Sus scrofa: one gene and its partners. The protein of the gene in region 1 interacts with the protein of each later gene in a pairwise test. Links are inferred from orthologs where the notes say so. Each region holds a gene or a part of one and is shown in the gene's direction. Other genes may lie near its edges.

Evidence for each region.
Region 2: the proteins of ZCCHC10 (region 1) and SFMBT1 interact in binary tests that used the Homo sapiens proteins (3 or more experiments, as listed by UniProt). The two-hybrid records come from large-scale screens. The link is inferred for Sus scrofa from reciprocal best matches to the Homo sapiens genes ZCCHC10 and SFMBT1.
Region 3: the proteins of ZCCHC10 (region 1) and TFCP2 interact in binary tests that used the Homo sapiens proteins (3 or more experiments, as listed by UniProt). The two-hybrid records come from large-scale screens. The link is inferred for Sus scrofa from reciprocal best matches to the Homo sapiens genes ZCCHC10 and TFCP2.
Region 4: the proteins of ZCCHC10 (region 1) and DZIP3 interact in binary tests that used the Homo sapiens proteins (3 or more experiments, as listed by UniProt). The link is inferred for Sus scrofa from reciprocal best matches to the Homo sapiens genes ZCCHC10 and DZIP3.
Region 5: the proteins of ZCCHC10 (region 1) and STAC3 interact in binary tests that used the Homo sapiens proteins (3 or more experiments, as listed by UniProt). The two-hybrid records come from large-scale screens. The link is inferred for Sus scrofa from reciprocal best matches to the Homo sapiens genes ZCCHC10 and STAC3.
Region 6: the proteins of ZCCHC10 (region 1) and PRR13 interact in binary tests that used the Homo sapiens proteins (3 or more experiments, as listed by UniProt). The two-hybrid records come from large-scale screens. The link is inferred for Sus scrofa from reciprocal best matches to the Homo sapiens genes ZCCHC10 and PRR13.
Region 7: the proteins of ZCCHC10 (region 1) and SDCBP2 interact in binary tests that used the Homo sapiens proteins (3 or more experiments, as listed by UniProt). The two-hybrid records come from large-scale screens. The link is inferred for Sus scrofa from reciprocal best matches to the Homo sapiens genes ZCCHC10 and SDCBP2.

The regions. Positions count from the first base shown.
Region 1 is NC_010444.4:135,304,471-135,308,653, forward strand, and holds the start of ZCCHC10 (zinc finger CCHC domain-containing protein 10), read left to right. Parts: upstream 1-1,383; 5' UTR 1,384-1,602; coding exon 1,603-1,643; intron 1,644-4,183.
Region 2 is NC_010455.5:35,178,274-35,182,379, reverse strand, and holds the start of SFMBT1 (scm-like with four MBT domains protein 1), read left to right. Parts: upstream 1-1,306; 5' UTR 1,307-1,820; intron 1,821-2,256; exon of another isoform or gene 2,257-2,482; intron 2,483-3,022; exon of another isoform or gene 3,023-3,215; intron 3,216-4,106. UniProt on the Homo sapiens protein: Histone-binding protein, which is part of various corepressor complexes. Mediates the recruitment of corepressor complexes to target genes, followed by chromatin compaction and repression of transcription.
Region 3 is NW_018085018.1:278,577-282,076, forward strand, and holds part of TFCP2 (alpha-globin transcription factor CP2), read left to right. Parts: intron 1-2,285; coding exon 2,286-2,334; intron 2,335-2,685; coding exon 2,686-2,779; intron 2,780-3,500.
Region 4 is NC_010455.5:150,798,041-150,801,540, reverse strand, and holds part of DZIP3 (E3 ubiquitin-protein ligase DZIP3), read left to right. Parts: intron 1-569; coding exon 570-690; intron 691-1,169; coding exon 1,170-1,316; intron 1,317-1,400; coding exon 1,401-1,505; intron 1,506-3,059; coding exon 3,060-3,170; 3' UTR 3,171-3,500. UniProt on the Homo sapiens protein: E3 Ubiquitin ligase proteins mediate ubiquitination and subsequent proteasomal degradation of target proteins.
Region 5 is NC_010447.5:22,553,531-22,557,540, reverse strand, and holds the start of STAC3 (SH3 and cysteine-rich domain-containing protein 3), read left to right. Parts: upstream 1-1,210; 5' UTR 1,211-1,542; intron 1,543-2,431; 5' UTR 2,432-2,530; coding exon 2,531-2,596; intron 2,597-2,874; coding exon 2,875-3,142; intron 3,143-3,384; coding exon 3,385-3,482; intron 3,483-3,696; coding exon 3,697-3,769; intron 3,770-4,010. UniProt on the Homo sapiens protein: Required for normal excitation-contraction coupling in skeletal muscle and for normal muscle contraction in response to membrane depolarization. Required for normal Ca(2+) release from the sarcplasmic reticulum, which ultimately leads to muscle contraction.
Region 6 is NC_010447.5:18,659,395-18,663,613, forward strand, and holds the start of PRR13 (proline-rich protein 13), read left to right. Parts: upstream 1-1,419; 5' UTR 1,420-1,640; intron 1,641-1,696; exon of another isoform or gene 1,697-1,941; intron 1,942-2,109; 5' UTR 2,110-2,129; coding exon 2,130-2,148; intron 2,149-2,732; coding exon 2,733-3,161; intron 3,162-4,219. UniProt on the Homo sapiens protein: Negatively regulates TSP1 expression at the level of transcription. This down-regulation was shown to reduce taxane-induced apoptosis.
Region 7 is NC_010459.5:33,980,575-33,984,074, forward strand, and holds part of SDCBP2 (syntenin-2), read left to right. Parts: intron 1-2,603; coding exon 2,604-2,762; intron 2,763-3,424; coding exon 3,425-3,500.

The DNA.
Region 1 (4,183 bases):
TGGAAAACTTGAAAATTTGAGAACAAACTTCATCTAGAAAAATGAATGTTTAAGAGCAATAAAGAGAATTGAGGAGAACTAGAATTATTTAGGAGAGACTTGACCTACCAGACATCAAAATAGTCTAAAAATAAACTATGGAAATCAAAGCCATACAAATACTGGCACAAGCAGATCTTTGGAAGAAAACAGAATGTCTAAATGAATTAAATTGGTACAAAATCGGAGTTCCCGTCGTGGCTCAGCGGTTAATGAATCCGACTAGGAACCATGAGGTTGCGGATTCGATCCCTGATCTCGTTCAGTGAGTTAAGGATCCGGCGTTGCTGTGAGCTGTGGTGTAGGTTGCAGATGAAGCTTGGATCCCACGTTGCTGTGGCTCTGGCATAGGCCAGCGGCTACAGCTCCGATTGGACCCTTAGCCTGGGAACCTCCATATGCCAAGGGAGCGGCCCAAGAAATAGGCAAAAAGACAAAAGAAAAAAAAATTTGTACAAAATGGATTTAGGAGACTAAACCTCCATGATCTGTCATTAAATGCTAAAATATCCTTAAATAATTAATATTTGTTACTCTTTCCAGTTGACAAATCAAATTTACCTATACCCTTATAACATCACTATGATATACATAAAAATGTAAGTAATTAACATATATTGCACTTGATGGTTTGATAAGGTCAGCATTTTTCAATGGACGGTTTTTTTGTTTTGTTTTGTTTTGTTAAAGCCGCACCTGCGGCATATATAAGTTCCCCAGCTGGGGGTTGAATGCAAACTGCAGCTGCCAGCCCACGCCACAGCCACACTGGATCTGAACCACATCTTTGATCTACACCGCAGCAGAGGCAACACAGGATCCTTAACCCACTGAACAAGGTCAGGGATTGAACCCAGCATCCTCATGGATACTAGTTGGTTTCATAACCCGCTGAGCCACTGACGGGAACTCCTCATCTGATGGTCTTACTCTTGTTTAACTCATTGTTTTTCACTTTGCTCTCCAGACAACTTCTAGTTTCTTCAACACTGCAGTTTCATTCATTTATATATAAAAATTCATTTGTGTATAAAGATGACCAGGAGTTCCCCCTGGCTAAGCAATAACTGAAACTGACTAGTATCCAAGAGGACACGGGTTCGAGCCCTAGCCTCCATCAGTGGGTTAAGGATCCTACGCTGCCATGTGAGGTGCGGTATAGGTTCCAGACGTGGCTTGGGTTCCCAGTTGCGGTGTCGTAGGCCGGCAGCTGCAGCCAGGATTTGACCTCCTAGCCTCGGAACTTCCATATTCCACAGGTGAAAAAAGAAAAGGGAAGGAACAGATCAACACCTCATTGGAGAATGTTCTTCCCTGTCTCTCCTAGCAATTACATGACCCCACCCTTCAAAAGCCTTGTTCAGAAGAGACAACCGACCTCACTCCTCTTCCTCAAACAAGGGCCCGACACAGGCCCAACCCCCTACTTGCCCCAGAAGCTGCCCCCGCGACTCGCCAGGCGGGACTAGCTCCGCCCACGCCGACAGCCTCCAGGGTTCGAAGGCCCCGCCCCCTTGGAGGAACTTCCCAAAATCCTGCGCGGCGGGCGTCAGCTGCGCTAAGATGGCGACTCCCATGCATCGGCTCATAGCCCGGAGACAAGCGTAAGTGAGGGCCGGAGTCGGGCCGCGGGGCGGGCTGGGGGCGGGGAGAAGCGCGTCAGCCAGCTGGTGAGCGGGCGCCGGGATGCTGGGCCAGTGTCAGATCCTCTTTGTGACTCGGCCGAAGGTGCCGTTTTTCTCATACGTTGCCTCCCCGCAAGGGGCTGGGGCCCGGGCGTTAAGTTTGATGTCCGGTGGACTAGCGATTTCGTGGACGACGGCTGAGTAGGACCGCTAGGCGGGACCTAGGGGTGTCTGAAGAGAGTTTAGCGTTTGGCTCCCGGTTACGGGACGCCCCGGAGTTGGTCACTAAGCGATTGATGCCCCTTTGACAAGTTAGCCGCCCACCCCACGCGTGACAGGGAGAAGCTTGCAGCCCTCATCCAACACCCCCTTTTCTCGCCGACGTAAACCTTCCGCTTCCTGTGAGGGCCTCCAGCCCATCTGGCTTTACCTGCTCCCTTCCTGTTACCTTCCCTAGAAACAGCTGACTACGACGCCGACTTTTTCCCGAACTATCTTCTCACTTTCTGCCGTTCATTCTCTTCAGCAGAATTTAATAAGCATTGCCTATCATTCTATGTCAAGTTTGGGGTATGAGGAAAAAGAAGTGTTCAAGGCAAAACCTCTGCTTTCAGAAAGCTTACATTCTGTTGGTGGAGTCGATAAACTAAACATTTTACGTAAATACAGTTGATAAGAGCTTTGAAGAGGAAATAAGAGGTGATGGAAAGAGAAAGATCCACGTTTGGTTGGTTGGCCAGGAAAGACTTTTCTGAAGAAATGTTTCTGTGGCATTGGAAGAGATCTGAAGTGTGAGAAAGGAGCCAGTCCTGAGAGGACTAAAGGAAAGAGCATCTAGACTGGAGTAGATACCTTGAGACAGGAAAGAACTTCGTTTTTAAGAACCGAAAGATGGCCAGTTGTAGCTAATGAGCTAGTGAAAGGGCGCGCAACAAGAGGTTTGCAGTGAGGAGATAATGAGGGAGTTCATGCCGGATGCCCCCCAACGTGTTTTTTTTTTTTTGGCCATGTCTGAGGCATGTGGAAGTTCGAGGACCAGGGATGGAACCTGAGCCCACAGTAGCCATCTGGGCCACTGCAGTGACAATGCTTCCTAAACCCGCTGTGCCACAAGAGAACTCCCCAGATGCCCCTTTCTTGTAGTCTTTTTTTCTTCTTCTAACCTGCACACTTAACTGTCTGCCGCTTTTTCACTCTCAGCCATTTTTGCCCTCACCATTTTCTCATTTATTGCCCACAGTCTGCTCGAATGTATGTTTATATTTCTTTTTATATTTATATTTTTTTATTTTAAGAACTCTGATCATCCACGTCTCCCTTTCTTCAGACTCTTCCTCTCATGCCCCATGAAAAGAGTCCCTTGAGCGTAAGGATAAAGACTTAGGGAATCAGAGTAAGTAGTATGCTGGCTGGAGGAAGGGCACTTTGAAGTCAAATGGTTCTGAGATTAAGAATGGAGTGACAGTACTTAATAGGTGTGTGCCTAATAATGTCACCAGGGTCTAATCTCTCACTCTCAGGTTTGTTCTTTTGTGTGTTGGTTCCATACTTGGATAGATTCACTCCTTTGGTCCTAAGAGGCTGTTGTATTTAGGGTCCTTTATGTCCTCTCAGCTTCAAGTTGATAGCATCTCACTGTCTAGGTTGGGTTCTATGCCCTTCCCTGAACCAGGTCTATGGGATTATGAAGCTATGATTGATTTGGATATCATTTTTTTTCCTAGCATAATTGAACGGATCTTTATAAGCCAAAGAAGAGCTCAGTGGTGGTGGTAGTTTGGTCAGAGGAGGTAATGATTGCTAGAGTGACAAAACCAACCAATATCCACTGTAAATATGAAGTGAAAGTAAGACTTCTAGTACTTTTAGCATACGTTTTGGAAGTATCACAGAATTAAACAAATGTTCCATTTTTGCAGTGTGTCTTTATGTAGTACATGAGCTTCACCGAAGTAAAAGACAACTCAGCTTTAGGAGGTTTTGGTCTTACTGGGAAGCAAACATGGTGTGTAATAAAACATGTCATGGTTTACAGACTGTCAGGAGTCCCCAAGTAGTCAGAGAGGGAGACCCTTTAGAGGCAAGGGCAGTCCAGTATTTTTGGGGGTGAGGGGAAGGCAGAATAGGAGCATTTACTTTGCATTTTATATTTATCAAAAAGATTTAACTTTGTAAGTTCCCTGGTGGCCTAGGAGGTTAAGGATCCAGCATTGTCACTGCTGTGCTTGGGTCATGGCTGTGGCATGTGTTCAGTCCCTTGCCCAGGAACTTCCACATGCTACAGGAGCAGTGAAAAAAAAAAGATTTAATTTTATTTATAAAGAGCATATATCACTTTCATAAGAACACTTTTAAACTACAGGTTATATACGAGAAAGTACTATTGACATTCTTTTTTTAAAAGTCTTTGGAGGAAAAGAGGAAATTTTGAACTTCCCATTCAGAACATCTTTCAGGAACCTAACTTTGAATCAGACTTAAACACAATTATATGCAGAATGAGAAGAGTAGAAGTGAAA
Region 2 (4,106 bases), on another chromosome or scaffold:
AATTAAATTGTGCAAGAGTTTCTGCTGTAGTGCAATGGGATTGGTGGCATCTTGGGAGCCCTAGGACACAGGTTCAATCCCAGGGCTGGCACAGTGGGTTAAGGATCCAGTGTTGCTGCAGCTGTGGCTTAGGTTGCAACTGGGGCTTGGATCTGATCCTTGGCCCTGGAACTCCAAATGCCAGGAGTGGTCAAAAAAGACTAAGTAAATAAATAAAATTGTAGAAAATCAGTGGAAAAATACACTATCAGATGGGTGGAAGAAAGCTCGCTTCATCAGCATTGGAGCAATTAAAAAAATCACAAGAGACTAGCATGACAGATTGAATAAAACAAAAAAAGAACAATGGACTGTCACTTTGGATCACTGACAACATAGGAACAATATAACATAAAAAAATGCTTATTCGAAGTTAGAAGAGGTTCAAGTCCCCAAAAGATGAATAGACATGAACAGATCATTTATAGAAGGGAAATACAGATAGTAAATGCAGGGATAAACATTTACTGAGAAATACTGAAGTAACCTTGAACTACCAACAGACACTGCTAAAATAGGGGAGAAAAAAGATGGTACCCAAGGCTTAGAAATGTGTATTAAACTCTTTACACTTGTTCCTGGGAGGTGGAGAATGAGTAGGGCAGCAGCTCTTTGGTAAGTCCTCTGGCACTGTGGGGCAAGCCCACCTCGCCCTTCCTTGCTTAGCCTTTCATCTGGGTATTTAACTGCCAGGAATCTATCCCAAAGGCAGAACTAAGGGATGTGTTAGTAAACAATTGTAAGGAACCAAAATAGGCAATGGTAGGAGACTGACTGAATGGATGAAGATATCTGCACACATTAAAAATGCATCATGTGAACAAAAGAAAAATGTTAGTGATGGTAGCAAACACAAAAGACAATGTGTGGTTGCTACTATGTAAAGACGTGTAGGTGGGTGGAAGGTTTAATGTGTGAAAAGTTTCATGTATTATGGATACTACTTTACTCTTTTTGCATTTTTCTTCCTCCCTGGCTGTCATATTGTCTTTTCAGGGGCAGTTAAAATATCCAGCCAGCAGCGTGCCTGTGAGCAACTCTGTAAAGTGGGGTATTATTTCCCAGCGCAGACTTGAACCGCATTTGGCACCCCTGAATTCCTTGCGGTGGGGATGACTCCTCCACCTTGAAAGGCAGCAGTGATCAGCGCCCATCGGAGCCCTCCTCTCAGGACCGGGAGTCCGAGCACTCCCAGGTCTCCGAGGCTCGGGCACTTCCTTCTCTCTTCCAGAGCAGGTGGGGACGGGCGAGTGTCCCACCAGCACCTGTGTTCGGTGGGTAAGGGGCGAACGAGCTCGGAGAAGTAAACCGCAAGTGGGCACCTCGGGTTGCGGGGCCGGTTCATAGTCACTAAGGAGCTACTGTCTCGACCCCGGGGCCCTGCTCTCCCGCCCGATTTAGACAGCCGTCTCTTGCCACCTCGCCAGGGCCCCGAGCGGCAGGAAAACTCGGATTTACAGGGCGCCTCCTGCGGAAGCCTAGAAATACCGGGTGCGCCGCGGGGCTCCGGTCTGACTTCGCAGTCAGGGGGCAGTTAGGTGCCCTCCCAGGTCTCAAGGGTGCGCCAGATCCCGGACGTGGGCCAGGCGGGCGGACGCAGCCTTCTCCCGCGGCGACACGCGCCTAACTGGGCTCAGGCCGCCGCTCGGTGCGTTCCTGCGCTAATGCCATCTTGCCAGAGGCTGTCACGTGCGGACGACAGCATCGCGCTTCGCCCCGGCCCGAACGCCAAAACCGACATCGGGACGCCACCTGGTTCCCGGGGTTCCATCCAACCCGAGGTGAGGTGAGGGGGCCCTTCCCTCGTGGGTCCGAGCAGGGGCAGCGTGGGCGCTGGGTCCTGGGAGGCGCGTTTCTCCGTCGGGGCCCCAACGCGCCGGGCTGTAGCGCCGTCGGGGGCGGGAGGCGCCACCGCGTGCCCTGTGCCACGGCCCAGGGGGTGTCCAGGGCAAGTTGTGGGCTGGAGCATGCCGGGCGGCGGCGGCGGGTGGCTCTGGACCCCCAGGACTTAAGTCTGCAGTCGCCTCGCCTCCGGCACAGGTCCCGCGGGGCGGGCAGACGCGCGGGAGGGCTTGGAGAGGCCGGGCCGGGGGGCGCCACACGCGCGGCGCGAGGGGCGCCGGCTGCCGGGAGGAGCGCGGATGGTGGGGGGGGCGCGGGCGCATGCGCCCTGCGCCCGTGCCATATTGGAATGAGTCGGAGTGCGGAGCGCCGCGGCCGCCGCCTCCGCCGGAGCGCGGGTGGAGGGGGGCGGGGAGAGCTGCCTGCCGCCCCGCTCCGCGGAGCCCAGCAGGAAGGAGGGCGCGAGCGGGCGAGCGCAGGCGGCGCGAACGGAAAAAGCGTCCGCGCGGGCGAACGAAAAGAAGGAAAGAAAGAAAGAAAACGAGCGCGAGAGGGGAAAAGCGAGCTATTGAGAGAGCGAGCGCGCGAAAACTCCCGGCAGGTAAAAAAGCGGGGCTGCCGGCTGGGCCTTCCCGCGCGGCGGCCTGAAGGGGCGGCGGCGGCGCGGGGACTGGGGACTGCCTGCTGGCCCCTTCTAGGCGGCCGCGCAACTTTGCCAACGAAAATCCGCCGGGAGCCGGCGGCCGGCGGGCGCGCGGGCTGAGGCGCCAACGGGCGGCGGCGGCACGTTGGGGGCGGGGGCGGGGCGGGGGGAGCGCGACGCCCGCGCGCGGCCTGGCGCGCCCCCGAGGCCCCGCGCGCTGGCCGGCCGGGAGGCAGGAGCGCGCCTGGGCGCCTCGCCGCGGTAGCGAGACGCGGCCGGCCGTCTCAAGCCGGCAGCAGGGCGCACGGCAGCCCCCGGGCGTGAAAGGAAAGTGGCCAGTCGGCCGCACCGGGGGCGCCCAAGTTCCCTGGCGCGCTGGGCCCGCCGCGCGCCCCTCCCCGCGCGTCCCACGCTCCCGCCCGCCGAGCCCCCGCGGACCCGCCCCCCGGGCTCGCTCCGGGGCCGGGACGCGAACCCGCAGCAGGACTCGGGGGCGCGCCGCCCGCGCAGCGGTCCGAACTTCACAGGGCCAAGGCGGCCACGGCGCAGAGGTGAAGCGTCTAGCGGCCGCCGCAACCGGTTGCTTCGGCCAGCGTGGTGGAGTGCGCCGGGCCTCCCCTGCGCGGCGCGAGCTGGCCGTGGGCTCGCCAGGAACCCGCCCCCGGCCCCAGCTGGACCTGCCGCTCCGGAGGTCCGTGACCGTTTCGATTTCTGTCCTTAAAGTCTGGTTTTGGACCTTGAAGGAAGCTGTAGAGAGGCGAGCAGAGTGTTCTGAAAAGCCAGGCCTGCTTTGTGGGAAGTAGAAACGCCTTGTGAGAACAGAGATAAATTCCCGCGGAAAGGATGCAATGTTAAGTTTTTCACAAGATGTCAGCTGCTCCCTGGGGTCTGAAACTGAGCCGTAAAGCACAGGTCACCTGCACCGTCTTCTTATGCGTTGGGAGTGGTGTAGCACACCCTTATCAGGGACAGGTTTTTTAATTTAGTGGGGGTTTTTCCCAGCGGGTTACTCAAAGCCATGCGGGTGGACCGCAGCGAGCGAGGTTTCCTGAGTCCTACTTAGAAGTAATATAGTCTTGAGAGCCAAGAAACATCAAAGAGATTTGAAGGGAAATAAGATGAATTTTATCAATCCCTGCTTGTACTTTCTCCTCTGGAACCACATTTTTAAGATGTCACACTTTATTGCCTTGCAAGTAAAATGCCTGAAAATGTAGTTGTTCATTGGTCTACTGTCTTGAGAAGAGCAGAAAATGAGTGTCTTCTTGTGTACGTTTTGGGGCCTTTTGGCCTGGTTTTTTGAGGGGTATGTTGAATCTTTCTAGGCCACAGGTAGATTTCAGAGTTGAGATTTGTTTATAATGTCAGAGAACTAACGGCCTGGTGGAAACGGGAGTGGCCCAAGATCAGGAAACAGTTCTGTAACTACTGTTGTCATTGACTAGCTGCCTTATCTCAGGTATGGAGTATGTTTCTTCCCCTTTATAGATTTGATTTTTCTTATTGCACAATTGGAGGATGAATAGGTCATCATTCTGCATGCTTTCAGTTCTAAAATTTGGTGACTGTTTAAAGTTAAAAT
Region 3 (3,500 bases), on another chromosome or scaffold:
CTGAGGTTTGGATTATCTTCAGCGGAGACTAAAAAGAGTGTTTTTTGTAGCTTTCGTTCTCCCTGTTAGAAGATAGCATTTATGGTTAGCATTTAGGGATCCAGGGACCGATTTTCTGGGTTTTCACTTCTCCCTCTTATAGCTTATCTTAGGGTTATTTTACTTCCTGATCATACTTTCACCAGAGAGTGTCACTGGGAGTTGAAATAGTTGTATAAACACTAAAATCTGTTTGGGAGTTCTCTTGTGGCACAGCAGCTTGTCACTGCAGTGGCTTAGGTCGCTGCTGTGGCGTGGGTTTGATCCCTGGCCCGGGAACTTCTACACATCTCCAATGTAGCCAAAAAATAAAAATGAAAAATAATAAAAATGAAAACCAAATCTGTTTGGTTACTTACTAAGAATGATTCCTAATTGTTATGAATCTTCGATAATTGAAGGAAGAGGATGAGAATGAGAGCTAAGGTGATTTTTTTTCAAATTATCTATGGGATGCATTTAGTCTTGCCTTATTATTGCCTTTTGCCATCGGAGATAATGGAAAGCTGGTACAGATATGCCTTGCTTCAGTTTACAAAAGTTGTCTTAGAATTCCCTTGTGTCTCAGTGGGTAAGGATCTGGCATTGTCACTGCTGTGGCTCTGGTTACAGCCATGGCATGTGTTCGATCCCTGGCCCAGGAATTTCTACAGTCTGTGGGCGTAGTCAAAAAAATAAAGTTGTCTTATAGTCCCATCATTTAACACGTATTCTATACAGACTCTATGTTCATCCTACTTCTGAAAGTATTTAGTTAAGTATTTAGTTAAGAATAAAAATAGGTAGAGTTCCCGTCGTGGCTCAGTGGTTAACGAATCTGACTAGGAGCCATGAGGACACAGGTTCGATCTCTGGCCTCACTCCGTGGGCTAAGGATATGCATTGCCGTGGGCTGTGGTGTAGGTCTCAGACATGGCTCAGATCCAGTGTTGCTGTGGCTGTAGTGTAGGCCAGCAGCTACAGCTCCCATTCACCCCTTAGCCTGGGAACCTCCATATTCTGTGCGGCCCTAAAAAAAAAAAAAAAAGGTAGAAATTATAGAAGCAATAGATAACTAGGGTAGAATTGGAAGTCCTTGTTGTGCTCAGTGGGTTAAGAACCTGACATAGTGTCCATGAGGATGTGGGTTTGATCCCTGTCCTTGCTCAGTGGGTTAAATATCTGGCATTGCCACAAGCTGCGTTGTCGGTTACAGACTTGGCTTGGATCCTGCATTGCTGTGGCTGGGGTCTAGGCTGGCAGCTGAAACTTCAATTCAACCCCTAGCCTGAGAACTTCCATATGCCATAGGCGCAGCCTTAAAAAGAAAAAAAAAAAAAAAAAAGAGGGAGGGAGAGAATCGTAAAATTGGAGTTCTCTGGTGGCTCAGCAGGTTAGGGATCTGGTGGTATCACTCCTGTGGCTCAGCTTGCTGTTGTGGCTTAGGATCCCTGTTGTGTTGGGATCCCTGGCCCCAGAACTTCCTAATGCCGTGGGCATGACCAAAAAAAGAAGTTTGAAAATTGTCTCTTCTTTTTGTGTGATTTAGTTCATTACTGGGATCAAATTCTTCGCCCATAAAAAAAGTAAACATTAGGGAAGAGCAACAATCTATAGAGCAAAAGGAAGTATAGGGAAAAATCAGGGTGTGTTGATAGCCCTTGGATCAAAAGTTAGTGCTCATTTTTGGAACTATTTTATTATAAAACTATATATGATCGCATTTCATTGTATACATTTTATTCTACTATTTTTCCTGTATTTGTATATTTATATATTTCATACTGTAGTCATCTATTGATTGCTTTTACATTCTGATGTTTTTCATTTATATTCTCATGAACTTATGTTACATATTTTTATGCCACAATTCGTCTAATCAACCCCAACTTACTGGAATTTTGTTAATTTTTTCAGTTTCTTCAGTAATAAAGAAAAAATCTTAGGAGTTCCCATTGTGGCGCACCGGAGCTGTGGTATAGATTGCAGATGAGGCTCAGATCCTGCGTTGCCGTGGCTGTGATGTAGGATGTAGGCCAGCAGTTGTAGCTCCGATTGGACCCCTAGCCTGGGAACCTCCATATGCCATGGGTGCTACCCTAAAAAGCAGAAAAAAAAAAAAAAATAGAGGTATTGGATCCCAGGGTGAGAATTGGAACGTAGACAGATTCCTTTAAACATCTAGCTGAAGACTCATGATGAGGAGGAAGAATGAGGCAACCGTAGTGTGTCATGGACTCATCCTTTCCTTTTAAATGTTCCTTTAGAAATGGTTCACCGAACCACCAGCCAGAGCCGCCCCCTCCCGTCACAGATGTAAGTCTCAAGTTAAATGTCTGTTATTTGCACTGTCTAATGATACTTTGTTGACTGTGTGATTCATTAGAAATGCCCGATTTGTTAGGTAGTATTAGTCATTCATTCACTAAAAGAAATTTATTGAACGGGATACTGTGCTGTATTTAAGGTGCTTTCAGTCTAGTGGGGAAAATGAGGATGGAATTTCATGGACATCTTGTGTGGTTGGAGAAAGAAGACTGCCAAACAACTTCTGAGGAAACTCAGCCTGAGTGTGGGTGTGTTTGGCTGTTGTTACCTAACAATGTAACATTGACCTTTCAAGAGGTGTCTATTTAGTTAACCCAAAAAATGCTTTCCCTTTTTCAGAACCTCTTGCCAACAACTACACCTCAGGAGGCTCAGCAGTGGTTGCATCGAAACCGTTTTTCCACCTTCACAAGGCTTTTTACAAACTTCTCAGGTGCATTTGCTTACCCTTTACCCCCTCCCGCCCTAGCTTAGGAGTCCTTTACATTCTAGGGCCTCCTGGTATCCCTGTGTTGTTTCTTATGGTGGAACTCTCTCTTTTTCTGATTCAGTGAATTTCATTGACCCCTTTAGACTTTCTCACCAGCTGCAACTAGGCTGTGAAATACTCAAAAAGAAAGACCTTACTGGACTTTCTCTGCACATTCCACCTTGATGTAGCACCTTGTGTGTATCAGATATGTAGGAATATACGAATGGATAAGTCATAGTTAAAATCCGTCATCACTGAGTATCAAAACCCGAGTCAAAATAAAATCCTGAGAAAAGGTAAAAAAAATACTTGTGATGCAGTAGATAAGTGTACACAAAGGAGAGGGTCTGGAGTTAGGGAGCACGTGTGATGCATGAGGCGAATCTCGCGGAATGAGAAGTCTGTTCAGACAGTGGAAGGATATTTCAGGCAGAAGGAACAACTGGTTGTTCCTGAGACATGATCAGTATGATGAAAGCGTAGGGTTAAGCGGGTGAGTTAATTGAATGGGAATTGAGGTGGAAGAGGATGCAGGGGCCAGGACATGAGGGCCTTATTTACAATGCAAAAGATAATGGACTGGAGCAGACTAGCAATGCGGTGCCTTGTAAAAGAGTCCATTTTAGAAGTCATTAACAAGTAGAATCTTTGCCTTTCTCACCCACCTTCTTATTTTTATTCC
Region 4 (3,500 bases), on another chromosome or scaffold:
ATTAAGATATTCCTAGATTTTTTATCACATAATTTGTCTTTTAATCTTTGCTTTCCTGTTCTGTTAAATCTTTGTTTTCTGTTTCTGAGTTTTATAAAATAAAACCATTAAAAATAATAGAGGGGCCAATAGTAACATAGTTAAAAAGAAATACTTTAATCCTGTGTAAGAGAAGGGGATACTTTAATCCTAAGTAAGAGAAGGGAATACTTTAATCCTTAGTAAGAGAGCATTGAGACGTATGTTATAAAGAGCTCAGTACAAAATTAATTTTCCTACAGTGAGCTTTTAGAAATAGTTAAAACATATTTTTGGAAAGAAAATAAATAGAAATATTTAGAACTTATGAACACATTAAGTATCATTATTAATGAGCACATTAAGAGTTTTCATTTTAGTTTAAGATAAATGGAGATGGACTTGTGATCACTTTTTTAGACCAGAGATCTGAAGGGTCACATCTGTATGCTATACAGCAATCCTATGATAGGATTTTATATCTCCTTTGGAAAGCACATCCTCAAAGGCAGTAGGAAAATCAGCACTGCTCTTTCCTTGTTCTCTTCCAGAAAGGAGCTTACAGATTTCTTACGGAAATTGAAGAATACTCATGGGAAGTCCTTATCTGGACTGACATTTGATGAAATTGTTTGCAAGATTTCCCAATTTATTTACCCCAAGAGATCTCAGGTAAAACAAACAAACCAACCCTATATCTTTTAGCCCTTATCTTTAGTAGTAAACTCCGTCAGTTATCTCCATGACATGATCAGGAAATCAATCTATAATCATATTCAATCATCTATTAATAATAAACAGTTCAACTTAATAAATGGCATGGGACACACCACCTGATCGTTCTAGAATAAAACTTGAAATTTACTCTAGGTTATTTTGAATGATTCTAAAAGGGTACATTTTTTCTAATTTTATGCAAAGACTTGTTTTAATTAAAAGAGAACCTGGAGTTGTTTTTACTTGGCTCTTAGTATTTGGGTTATATTGCCAACATTTACTTCACAATTTCTTAAGAACCTGAGTGACCTTTGCTCTTTTGCTAATTCTCACTATACCCTGGTTCTATGGTATTCTGTTAGCTCTTTTTGTTTTAGTACAATTCTTAAAAAAAACAAACAAACAAAAAAAAAAAACCGTATTCTTCTTTTCAGAGTCAAGGAAAATCAGTGCCAAATGGAAACAGTGTTTCACCCAGCCACCATACTCCACCCCAGGCTAATGCTGTCCAGCCCTCAAAACCAGCCCGGAAGCCCCTCAGTTCACAAGGTCCTGTCAAATTAGAAGGAGCCAATAATTTGGTGAGACTGAGACTGTTGATTCTAAATACATTTAAATTTAAGAGAGAGAAATGAGCTGAATTTATTACCCTGTATTTTCTCTAGGATGATGATAAGGAAGAAGAAGAGGAGCCTTGTGTGATTTGTCATGAGAATCTCTCTCCAGACAACCTCTCGGTTTTGCCTTGTGCACACAAATTCCACTCTCAGGTAAACTTATCTTTTTTAATATTTTACCATTAATCATCTAAGTGAAATTCATACTGCAGTCCTTGAAGTGATATTCATGTATCATCCACTGCTGTATCATGAATTCTACTGGATAAAAGCTGGGCTTTTGGGTACCACACAGAAGTGTTTGTATGTTTCCACATACTTGGCCATGGATTGCACTGTGCTTTCTCAGATCTCAGTACACCTAGCAGGAGAAAGGGACAACAATGAGATTTATTGGGACAGAGTATAGCTGTTCTTTTGAGCAGAACTGGAAGGAATGGTGAGTGACATGGCCGTTGGCAGTTTAGCAACAGTGCCACTTCACCCTGAGTTGCTATAAATAGTGTCCTTTGTCCATGCCTAATGATGGCCAATGGCCACTGTAAGACTTAACTTTAACAGTCTACCCAGGCTCCTGTATGTGCTTTTGAGGATGCAGAAGCTTGAGTTTTGATGTTAGAAAAATGTGAGGCTGGCATATCTTTTGTTAATTCTTGACATTTATATAGATTAACTCCTGGTGTTGCTGCTGTGCAAATGATACTGATATACAACTTATGAGCCAGATCTTCTGTTGCAGAGATGTAATTTGACACAGGAAAAATTAATCTTACAAAAGAAAGGTTTCTCAAGGAAGTGAACAATAGCCAGCTTATTCAAGCGTTATCTATAAAACATAATTTCAGACATGTGATACCTGGTATGGAATTATATTTTGCATTTACCCTGATAAGAAGAGATGTACACAGAATGTCTAATCCCAAAAGATCTCCAGGATAGATACTTAGCCATCTGATTTTTCCATCTGAAATTTTAAAAGTTCTAAAGACCCATTTAGAAAATAAATGTTTCACAAAACTTATTTTATTCTTTGCCATTGCTCATTGAATAGAAAGCAGGTAATTCAGGTTACTCTTTAGGGTTAGAGTTAGAGCCTCATATATACTGCCCATTCCTAATTCTCTCCCATCTGACCTGGCACTCCATTATTCATTCAAGTAAAAATGATTTGTTTTAGGAGAGTCAGTATTCAGGCAAATGACTTAATAGATAAGTTCATAACCAAAGAGTTCTACTGAAGAAATAGCAATCTGAAAAGAAATAGCAATCTTAAAAGTGCATCCATTATCTAGGGATTTTAACTTCAAAATACCATAATCACTTGATAACAAGGTATTAGCGACATTTGTATGTTTAGGTATGACTTTTTCTAGATTATAAATGAGAATAATATATAATAAACCAGAGAAAAGGTATAATAGGTTTCCTCAACCTCCTTATTAGGAAAAACTGCTAGTCTTCCTGAAAGTTGGGGATGGGGAAAGACTCTTGATAGAATAAACTGGCTGAAAGGTATTTTGCTGTTACCAACCATATTGCTCAGCAAACCACAGAGTGCCATGATTGCAGCAGTTACTGTAATAATCCACCAAGCAAAGCTCCAAGATACACCAGAAACATTTTGGCTGGCAGCCCTGATATATAGAGTCACAGCTGCCTCTGCTAGGCTACACCTGAGGGACTCACATGCATCTTTTTGCTTCTTAGTGCATTAGACCTTGGCTGATGCAACAGGGGACATGCCCAACCTGCAGACTTCATGTTTTGCTACCAGAAGAATTTCCTGGTCACCCCAGGCGGCACTTGCCCAAGATATGATACAAAGGGGTGACTATCCAAAGGAAGTTCAATTTTCAGACTCTGAAATTTAGTTTTGCTTTTTATTTGAGTGTTCAATTTTCAGACTCTGAAATTTAGTTTTGCTTTTTATTCAAGCGGATAGTGTAAATGGTGTGAAGCAGTATGCTCTTCCATATTGTGCAAAATAAGCTAGCTAATCTCATCAAAGCTGCAGCCAAAGAGGAGAGGACAGGTCTTCAGGATTATGGACCAAACTGAAAGAGTTCAAAGAAGATGGAGTTTTAAAAGTTACATTACATTTGCTTTTACCTTATTAGGTATTTTCTTTCAACATAAACATGATTATTG
Region 5 (4,010 bases), on another chromosome or scaffold:
GAAATAGCAAAAAGACAAAAAAAAAAAAAAAAAAAAAAAAAAAAGAATGCCAGATATCAGAGTTCCTGTTGTGGCTCAGCAGTAATGAACCCAGCTAATGTCCCTGAGGATGCAGGTTCCATCCCTGGACCCACTCATTGAGTCAAAGGATCCGGTGTTGCTGTAAGCTGTGGTGTAGGTCACAGACAAGGCTCGGATCCCACGTTGCTGTGACTGTGGTGTGGTATAGGCTGGCAGCTGCAGCTCCAATTTGACTCTAGCCTGGGAATTTCCATATGCCGAAGGTGCAGCCCTAAAAAGACCCCCCTCCAAAAAAAAGAATGCCAACTATCTCATTGACCCATCAGTTCATATGCCAGGACATCATCAGAAAGAGAAGGAATCAGGGAGTCAGAATGATGAAGGAAATGTGAGGCTTGGCCATCCTGTCTCCAAGAGTTTGCAGCTCCCATGAGGAAGGAGACTTACTTACAGATGATAAAAACTCCCAATGTGACAACTCTTGCCTTCTGTGCAATGTTAATGAAACCATCTCTGTGATCATTGGACCCTCACTCCCTCAGAGACCCTCAGGTGGAAGTCCCAGCCTGACTTTTTAAAATAGCTCTTAGAATTCCTTTCACCCTGAGGACAAGACTTTAGAGAAATAGGGAAAAGATCTCTGGGGGCAGCTGGAGGGAACAAAGCAATACTGCGTGTCGTCACTGCCTTACCAGATAGCAGCCACTGCTCATGGGCAGGAAGGCCATCTAGGAGATCCCTAGTGGCTCAGTGGTTTAAAGACCCGGCATTATCACTTCTATGGCTCTGGTTGCTGCTGTGACATGGGTTCAATTCCTGGTCCGGGAATTAATTTATGCATGCCGTGAGCACGGCCAAAAAAAAAAAAAAAAAAAAAAGGCAATCTAGTTTGGCTGAGCTCTGGAAATCCAAATTATCCTTTCTTGACCAGTTTCCAAGCTTTCTTACTGTTGGAGCCTAGATCGATGCTTGAGGGTATAAAAACAAGACAGGGACCACAAGAAGACAATGGCTAAGAAGTCAAAGGCTAGTTCCTAAAACAGGTTCAAGGAGGGGAGAATCGGGGAGGTATTGAGACCTTGGGGGAAAGGGGATGGATAAGGCTGTTTGTAAGTCATCTAAAATCAGCCACGCAAGTGTCCAGCATGGACACTGTCCCCTCCTGAGTTTAGCCAATGCTGAACTGCACACCGTGGATGAAAAACCAAGCAACAGCAGTGTGGGGGGATGGGAGGAGTTAGGGTCCAGCCCTGCCCAGACCTCCTCGTGTCCAATTTCTCTGTGTCAGCTGTGTCGCTCAGCTGTCCACTTTCCTCCAGCCCTGTCATTTCAGCTCTGACACCAAGGCGAGAGGCTAGGAGGTCTACAAATACCGTCTGGGTAGCTGGTGTGAGTACAGAGGGTACTGGGGGGGCTTAGCCCCCAAGGAAGAGGACCAGTCCTCCCCCAGCACCACCATCAAGACCCCAGGGGCTCCCTCTTTTCTCCACAGACTGTGGACTGACTTAGGGAATCCCAAACGTAAGTTGCCTCTTCATCCTCTTTGCGTTTCCAGGACTTCTCACCCCAGCTTCCCCAATCCGTAGTCTATTCAGCTTCTTCATTTCTCTCATTGTCTGTGAGTAGTTTGGGTTTTAGGAGTGAAATTATTAAGCTACTCCAGGACAAGAGTTAGGATTGAAGGGTAGGGTGGGGGTGGGGTCAGGGGAGTAGAGTAGTAAGGGAAGGAAAGTCTCATATTACTCTGAAAACTTAAAATAGCTGAAGCCTGAGGCAGGCTGGGAACTAGGGAACTAGGCACCGGGCCCCTGAGCTCAAGAAAGGTAGGAGAGAACAAATGTCCCCAGCCCATCCCTCTATGCGCACTTGTGGACATGCACATTAAACCTCTTGAAAGGGGATCTGGGAAGGTGTGTGTCACATTTCTAAAGCCCACAGATTCCCTTGGAGTTGCCATCATGGCTCAGTGGTTAACGAATCCGACTAGGAACCATGAGGTTGCGGGTTTGATCCCTGGCCTTGCTCAGTGGGGTAAGGAGCCGGCATTGCTGCGGCTGTGGTGTAGGCCGGCAGCTGCAGCTCTAATTAGACCGCTAGCCTGGGAACCTCCCTATGCCACGAGTGCAGCCCTAGAAAAAGACAAAAATAAATAAATAAAAACCAAAGCCCACAGATTCCCAAGAGAAACAAAGTGCTTGTAGGAAAATGCCTAAACCACACAGCCTTGTGCACTGTCTCAGGGCAGTAAACTCTGGGGTTGCCCATCAGGATAGAAGGATGGTCATTGGTTTAAGGAGTTGGTAGGGAAGTTCTTTTGTCTGTTGGGCTTTTCTCTGGGCCTTTCTGGAATCTTTCTGCTCCTTGCCCCTGTCTGTGAAAGAATCTCTGTTTAACCAAATTTCTCCCAAAGCCTCCCCTTCAAGGACCACCCTACTGCAAGGGACAGGAACAAGGGGGGAAGAATGTCATTCAGAGATTAGATTTCATAGTGAGGTCAACCTCTTGCAGGATGACAGAAAAGGAGGTGCTGGAGTCCCATAAGCCCTCCTTCCCAGGAGAGACTCGGCAAAGTGGGGTGAGTCTGGGCCTTGACCATGGGGTATGGGGAGCTGGGAAGCCACTGCAGTCTTGAAGAAAATTGCTTGAATTGATCTCACTTGTATACGATTCATGTATTGTTCAAATGCTAGCTAGCACCTACAGGCCCCAGGACCCCCTAATCCTGGGGTGTGCCCCTTGCCCCAAGCTTGAAGAATGTCTAGTTAGCTTCAGCCTGACCTACTCTAAAAAGCAAGACAGTTCCTTTAACACTGGGTTTCCTTCCTTCCCTCCTTCCTTCCTTCCCTCCCTCAGCTACAGCGGCTGAAGCAGTTATTTAGGAAGGAGTCTACAGGGACAAAGGAGATGGAGCTTCCCCCAGAGCCCCAGGCCAATGGGGAGGCAGTGGGAGCTGGGGGTGGGCCCATCTACTACATCTATGAGGAAGAGGAAGAAGAGGAGGAAGAGGAAGAAGAACCACTCCCAGAACCTCCCAAGCTTGTCAATGATAAGCCCCACAAATTCAAAGATCACTTCTTCAAGAAGCCCAAGTTCTGTGACGTCTGCGCCCGGATGATTGTGCGTGAGTCACAGAGGGAAGTGGAGAGTGTGATGCCAAAGGCAGGGGGCAGGGGAAAGGATTTAGGAGAGGAGTATTTGTACATCAGATAGGCTGTGGCAAGATTTAGCTTTAAGAAACTACTGCAGAGATGGAGAGTGTCAGGTCCTATACTGAAAAGGGACCTGAGAACTAGAGTAGCAGCAGTGTTAGGAAGGGAAAGGGCAATCAGGAACCTCACGCAAATGTTCTCCCCATCTCCCAAGTCAACAACAAATTTGGGCTTCGCTGTAAGAACTGCAAAACTAACATCCACGAACACTGTCAGTCCTACGTGGAGATGCAGAGATGCTTCGGCAAGATCGTGAGTAGGCTCTGGGGAGCAAGAAAGTAGAAGGGAGGGGACATGTTGCCCGCTACCTCCTTGCCGGTCCCTCCTCAAGGCATCCCATCCATTTCCCTGCTTTTTCTTCCTCAGCCTATCTTTTACTCCAAGAAAGGGTGGACGTTCATGGGAGAGGTGGGGTTTGGGGCTCTACCTTGTTATCTCTAATGCTTTCTCCCATCCCATCCTACAGCCCCCTGGTTTCCGTCGGGCCTATAGCTCCCCACTCTACAGCAACCAGCAGTACGCTTGTGTCAAAGATCTCTGTAAGTGCCCCATACAGGACCTGAGGGAATGGGCAAGCCTAGAGGTGGTTTCCAGATGTGGAAACAAAATTCTGAAACAGAAAGATTCTATATCCTGTGGTTCTCGCTCAACCTAGTATCTTGGCCATCTTGGATGCAGAGTCAGTATTCCTCTGTTTTATAGCTGAGGGAAATAAGGTTTAGCTGGGGCTCTACTCAGGAAGAGACAGAACCAAAACTGAAACTTTCACCCGCCTAACCT
Region 6 (4,219 bases), on another chromosome or scaffold:
GCTCATGTCAACACCAGATCCTTAACCCACTGCATGGGGCCAGGGAAACCCACATTCTCATGGGTAGTAGTCCAGTTCTTTTTTTTTTTTTTTTTTTTTTTTTTTGTCTTTTTGCCATTTCCTGGGCCGCTCCCACGGCATATGGAGGGTCCCAGGCTAGGGGTTGAATGGGAGCTGTAGCCACCAGCCTATGCCAGAGCCACAGCAACGTGGGATCCGAGCTGTATCTGAGACCTACACCACAGCTCATGGCAATGCTGGATCCTTAACCCACTGAGCAAAGCCGGGGATCGAACCCACAACCTCATGGTTTCTAGTCAGATTCGTTAACCACGGAGCCACGACGGGAACTCCAGTAGTCCAGTTCTTAACCCAGTGAACCGTGCAGGAACTCCTAACCATGTAATTTCGAATTTAAATAAATTTCTATGCTGAAATAAAAAAAGAAAACACGGTCACACCTATGATTATGCACAAACTTGTACACGAATGTTCATAGCAGCAATATTCATAATAGGCAAAACATAAAAACAATTCAAATGTCCATCAGTTAATGAATGGATAAACTAAATGTGGAATATCCAAATAGTGGCATATTATTTAGTACTTCCTTCAGAAAAAAGAATGGAGTTCCCTTGTGGCACAGGAGGTTAAGGATCCCAGGTTGTCACTGCAGCAGCTTGGGTCACTGCTATGGCAAGTGTTGACTCCTGGCTTGGGAACTTCCATATGTGGTGAATGAGGCCAAAAAAAAAAAAAAAAAAAAAGAAGAAGAGGCCATTGCAGCATTCCCGTTGAGATATGATGGTAGGCTGGAAGCAGAGAAGATTGAAGAGAAGTAGAGAAATTTCAGATTTATTCGTGAAACAAACGGACCCTTCCCGATGCTGGAGCGGGAAGAGGGGAAGGTGAAGGAGAGAGCCATCAAGGATCACCTCCGGCGTTTCTGCTTTGTGCAATTCGACAGATGGCGGAGCTATGTAGTTGATACAGGGAATCCTAGGAGAGATTAGAAATCTCTGTATTTCTCCCAAGAATGTTTCTTTACTTTCTATGGACGCTGACAGAGGCGGCAATATTGAGTTTTAGGGTGAATATCGGCAGCTCCCCGCCCTTCCTTAAGCTGTGTATATATATCTGTACAACATTTATCATGGTATATTTACTTTATAAGGTGTGGCACCCACTGGACTAAGAGCTCAGAGGTCAAGGGTTGAATTTCCTCTAGGTACTCACGAACTTGCTCTGAAGCTGGCCCCGCCCACCCATAGCCCCGCCCCCAGGCATTTCCGGCCCGCTCGCCCTCTGCACCGGCCTCACCCCAGAGCGCCCAGCTCCGCCCCCACTGCAACCATTGCCTTTTAGCCTAGTGGGGACTAGAGTGATTGACGAGCATGTTCTCCAATCCTAAAGCCCAATGTTGTTATATTACCAATTCGGAGGCAGCAGAGGCGGATGCCAAAGCCTAACGTGAGAGGGTGATCGGGAAGTGAGAGTGGAGGCTGCGGAGGACGCCTCCGCCCAGGCGGTGGTATAAAGCTGACGGGACGTCAGTATTCTGTTCCTTTCTTTCTCCATTCCTGGGTGAGACGCCCCTTCGTTGCTGGGGAGCCGGGGTCTCCACTTGCCTTTTTTAAAGGGTAAGAGGGTGTGTCTAACTATATAAGCGTTTGAGGATCTTTCCTGAGCTGCCTTACCTCCTTTCGCCTCCAGGCAGGTCCTTCTGTTAGCCTGGGGTGCGGGGTCCTGTCTCCCGTCACCCATCCTTGGGGATGGTGAAGTTGTTTCAGATCCCTCCGCAGCCTATGGTGGTTAAAGTCTTCCGGGCTCGGTCAAGGAAAGGGAGAGGAGTGATGGGGATAGCGAGATTCGCGCACTCAGCCCCTCTCCCGAGGAGTTAGAATCCGCAGCCAGAGCGAGTGGAAGGTGGAGGGAAACTAGGTATTGGGGGCGAAGGAGCGGGTGGAAGGAGACATTTCTTATGTAGCGAACCTGTTAGTTCCCTGGGAGCCTACAGTGGGGCAGGAGGCGTTGAAGTTGGGCTTGGTGTCTAAATCACCCACCCACTTCTGGGCCGTCAGCTTTTAACCTTCATTTCTTTCTCCTCAGGCTGGTGAAAACCCCTGAACATGTGGAATCCCAATGCCGGTAAGTGTTTGGGGAGAATCTCTTCTCCTGCCCCAGTCCCTTTTCGGATGGGCCACAACAGGAAGTTTGTGTCCGTTTCTCCTCCACCTCTGCCCTAACCTACAAAAAAGCAAAGTCCATAGCTGCCCAGTGTCTTCCCCCAGAGTTCACTGTCTCCAGGGAACGTTACCTTTTCTTTCTCTTGTATAGGTTTGTCTCCCCTCCCCTCCATGCTCCTCTTTCTTCAGCTTTACATTTTTTCCCCCCTAGGGCCACACCTGCGGCATATGGAGGTTCCCAGGCTAGCGGTCCAATCGGAGCTGTAGCTGCAACTGCGCCACAGCCACAGCAACGCGGGATCCGAGCCGCGTCTGCGACCTACACCACAGTTCACTGCAGTTCCTTAACCCACTGAGCGAGGCCAGGGATCGAACCCACAACCTCATGGTTCCTAGTGGGATTCGTTAACCACTGAGCCACTACAGGAACTCCTCCATTTTCCTTTAAGTATTGAGTGAAAAATGGAATCCCCTTCTTTTTGTTGTTTGTTGTCAGAAGCTCTGGGCAGTTCTAATCTTAAATTTATTCTTTGCTTTTTCCACCAGGGCAGCCAGGGCCAAATCCTTACCCGCCTAACGTTGGATACCCTGGAGGTTGCCATCCTACCCATCCACCATCTGCCAACCCTCCCTTTCCTCCAGGCCCCCTTCCCACTCCTCCAGGAGTGCCCCAGGGGAATCCAGCTTTTCCCCCTGGCGGGCCTTGTTATCCTGTGCCACAGCCAGGGCATCCAGGATGCCAGCCCTCAGGTCCCTACCCACCACCTGCCCCTTGCATGCCACCTGTGAATCCATTGGCTCCTGGCATGGTAGGACCAGGCATGGTGATGGACAAGAAGATGAAGAAGAAAATGAAGAAAGCTCATAAAAAGAAGCACAAACACCACAAGCATGGCAAGGTCAGTGCCCTCTGGAGCCTGGCTAGGAAGAGGTGCCCCCTCAGAAGGACTAGGGTGGCTGGAGGTGGGAAGAGAGGTAGGTGGCAGGGACAAGGAATGGGGATTCACAGTCTGAGGACTTGGGACAGGGCATTGTGTTACTCTGGCAGATGGTGCTTCCTTTTTGTAAAGGATTCCCACTGCGAAGAATTTAATAATCTTGAAAATAATTATTAGGCTAATTGGGCCTTCTGTCTGCCAGGGGCTATGTTGAGCCTTAGAATGGCTATCAGAATCAGGTGCTTTTCTTTTTTGCCTTTCTTTTCCCAGAGCTTTGGCCTCCCCACCCCCATGCTTGTTCTGGCAAGTGGGACACACCCACTGAGGTGGTCAAATGTCAAGACCTTTGGCCAAGCAAAGTCTTATGTAATGATAGATAATAATCTGGTCCTAGTTCCTGGAATTTCTTTCTCTCCTTCACTGTTCTCAGCTTGTTGTATTAATTACGTAGGTCTTCTTGTCCAGCAGGGAAACTGAGGACAAGAGCAGTCAGTGACTCAGGCTCCAATAAAACCCTCAATTTCGTGCTCAGTCTCAGGCTAAGTATCTTCATGCCAGAGGAGTGTAAATTAGCAAGTAGCTCTCAGGACCAAGTAGTAAAAGTAGCTCTCAGAACCAACTCTGGAAGAATTGAACCAACCTTGAGATATTTAAAAAAAATTTTTAGGGCCACACCTGAGGCATATGGAAGTTCCCAGGCTAGGGGTTGAATCAGGCACCACAGCCACAGCCATGCTAGGTGCAAGTGGTGTCTGCAGCCTACAGCGCAGCTCACAGCAACGCTGGATCCCTAACCCACTGAGTGAGGCCAGGGATTGAGCCCGAATCCTCATGGATTCTAGTTGGGTTTGTTACTGCTGAGTCACAACAGGAACTCCCTTTTTTCCCCCTTCTTCTTCTTTTTTTTTTTTTTTAATTTTTAGGGCAACCTTGATCTTAAGGAGGCCTTAATTTACATTTTTCTGCTTAGCAAATTTTTTTTTTTTTTTTTTTTTTTTTTGTCTTTTTGTCTTTTTTGTTGTTGTTGCTACTTCTTGGGCCGCTTCCGCGGCATTTGGAGGTTCCCAGGCTAGGGGTTGAATCGGAGCTGTAGCC
Region 7 (3,500 bases), on another chromosome or scaffold:
GCTCAGTGGGTTAAGGGTCCGGCGTTGCCGGGAGCTGTGATGTAGGTCGAAGATGCAGCTTGGATCTGACGCTGCTGTGGCTGTGGTGTAGGCCAGCAGCTTACAACTCTGATTCGACCCCTAGTCTGGGAACCTCCATATGTCATGGATGCGGCCCTAGAAAAGACAAAAAGACCAAAAAAAACCTCTTTCCAGAGTGGCTGTGCCATTTTATTTTCCTGCCAGCAATGCATGACTGTTTCAATTTCTTCACATCCTTGCCAGTATTTGGTGTTATCACTATTTTAAATTTTAGTCGTTGTGATAGGTGCATAGTGATGCCTTATCATAGTCTTGATTTGCATTTCGCTCATGGCTGTTGATGAGTATCTTTTCATGTGCTTAATTTACCAGCTGTATATTCTTTTTGGTAAAATGCTTCTTCATATCTTTTGCTCATTTTCTAAATGTTTTTTTAAGTCAATTTTTAAGACTTTATTCTAGAGTCCTTTGTCAGATATGTGATTTGTAAATATTTTCTCCCAGTGGGTAGCTTCTTTCGTCACATGAAGAGTTTCTTACAGAGGAAGAAGTTTTCATTTTTTCTTTTGTTGCTCATGCTTTGGTGTCCTAAGAAATTTCTCCAAACCCTAGGTCCTGAAGATGTTTCCCCCCCACCTTTTTTTTTCTTTTTTGGCCGCCCCTCAGCTTATGGAGTTCCCAGGCCAGGGATCGGCTTCCAGCCTCAGTTGCAACCTGAGCCACAGCTGTGGCAACGCTGGATTCTTAACCCACTGCATCAGACTGGGATCAAACCTGCATCCCAGAGCTCCAGAGATGCTACCAATCCTATTGTGCCACAGCGGGAACTCCAAGATGTTTCCTTTTACTTTCTTCCAAAACTGTTAAGAGTTTTATGTTTTACATTTAAATTTCTGATTGAATTTGAGTTAATTTTTGTATAAAATGTGAGATCAGTGTTCATATTTTGCCTATGAATGTTCAATTGCTCCCACACCATTTGTTGCAAAGACTATTCTTCCTCCATTGCATTGCTCTTGCTCCTCTGTGAAAAAGCTCCTATTGTGTATGACTAATTTCAGTTTCTCTCTTCTCTTCCTTGATCCGTGTGTCTGTCCCTTTCCAGCATTGCACTGTCTGGATTACCGTAGCCATGTAATAAGTCCTGAAATTTGGTAGAGTGATTTCTGTTTTATTCTTTTTGTCAAAATAGTTTCAGCTATTCTAGTTCCTTTGTCTTTTCATATGAAGTTTAGAGTATCTTTGCTTATATCTACAAAACATCTCTTAGAGATTGTTGATAGAAATTGCATTAAATCTGTATATCATTTTGGGGACAATTGACAGCTTTACTACATTCTCCCAATTCCTGAAGACAGACTGTCTCTCCACTTATTTAGATCTTCTTTGATATCTTTTATCAGTGTTTTGTCATTTCCAGCATACAACTCCTGCATATGTTTTGTTAGATTTACACCCAAGTATTTATTTATTTTTTTGAGTGAAAACAGTATTGTAGGATTGTTTTGGGGTGGAAGGGGCTTGCACACACAGCATGCAGAAATTCCCAGGCTGGGGATCGAACTGGAGCCCCGGCAGTGACAACACCAGGTCCTTAACCCACTAGGCCACCAGGGAACACCTAAGTACTATATTTTTAATTTCAGTTTCTGCATGTTAATTGTCAGTATAGAGAAGTAAAATTGATTTTTTTGGGGGGGGTCTTTTTAGAGCTGCAGTCACAGCATATGGAGGTTCCCAGGCTAGGGGTTGAATTGGAGCTACTGCTACTGGAATATGCCACAGCCATAGCACTGCCAGATCTGAGGTGTGTCTTTGACCTACACCACAGCTCACTGCAACACCAGATCCTTAACCCACTGAGTGAGGCCAGGGATTGAACCCCTGTCCTCATGGATACTAGTCAGGTTTTGTTAACAACTCAGCCACAACAGGAACTCCAAAATTTATTTTTTTCTGTGTTGGTCTTGTATCATCTGACATTGCTCAACTCACTTATGAGTTCAAGGAGTTTATTTGTAGAGTCCTTGAAATTTTCTGGTAGAATACGGGGACCATTTCATGTCTTCTTTTCCAATCTATATGCATTTTATTTCCTTTTCTTGCCTTATTGCTCTGGCTAGTTCTCCATTACTGTATTTAATAATAATGGTGAGAGTGGACATCCTACCTGGTTCCAGATCTTAGGGGGGAAACCATTCATTTTGATATTTTAGCTTAATTTTTCTCAGGGCAAAAATCAAATTGAGCCCATTTGCTTCCACTGTTCACTATTTGCTATGAAATTTTTCTTTACTTTTTCAGTGGATTTTAAAGGGTTCTTTTCCTGGTACCAATTTGTCTGGGAAAACAGGGCTCCTTTCCTCTTCTTTCCCGGCTGTTATTAGGGGTGTGGACTTTAACGCCCCCTAGTGGCTTCACGCAGCCAGGTCCCATCTCGTCCTTTGCAGAGAACCGTGTGGTCTGGGGGTGGGCTGGGGCCTGTGCTCCACTCGGTTTTCCTTTCCCCATTCATGCCCTCACCCCGGACACCCCGGAGGCATGAGGCCCCAGGGGCTGGCTGACTGCTACTCTCTCTGCAGGCAGCGGTCTCGGGTTCCTCGCCGGGCCAGCTGGTGGCGCCCGTGTCCGGGAACAGCCTGGGGGTGCTGCGTGCGGAGATCAAGCCCGGGGTGCGCGAGATCCACTTGTGCAAGGACGACCGTGGCAAGACGGGGCTGCGGCTACGAGCCATCGACAAGGTGGGTTTGGGGTTGGGTGGGAGAGGAGGGGCCTCGCGGAGGGAGGAGGGCGAGCCCGCGTGCCTGCAGCCCGAACTGCCCTGGCTCCTCCCCGCGCCTCTGGGGTTCCCGCAGCATCGCCCAGGAGCTGCAGCCGGGACAGCACGGGAAGCCCCGTCCACAGTAAGGAAGGAGCCGGGCAGGCTGGGAGCCGAGGCTCACCCAACTAACCCTGAGGCTAGGCTCTTCCTCTCGAGATCCCAAGGTGCCACATGGGCCGGCCCCGGGTTGCTTTAGGGGCCCTCCACCTGCACCTCCACGGCTCCTATCTGTCATGGCCCTTTCTCCTTGCTCCCCACGCACAGGGATCTGGCTTCTGGGTGGCTCTCTGCAGACCGCGGAAGCCAGGGGCGGCGGATGCCTTTGTGAGAGGCCTGGTAGTCCAGTGGTCGGGGGTGCGGGTCCAGTCGGGGTTGAATTCCTGACTCGGCTGCTTCTGAGCTGAGCTGTGTGGCCTGGAGTGTTTCTTTGCCAGGAAAAATGGGGTAGCCTGTATCTGCTGTGTAGCACTGCAGTCCCAGTGCCCTGTGGGCTCAGGAGGATCAGGAGGCAAACAGCAGCTTGGAGAAAGGTCCCCGGCTCAGGGTCGCAGGGGATCTGACTGTGGGGCCTGCTTCCCCCAGGGGGTCTTTGTGCAGCTGGTCCAGGCCAACACCCCCGCGTCGCTGGTGGGGTTGCGCTTTGGAGACCAGATCCTGC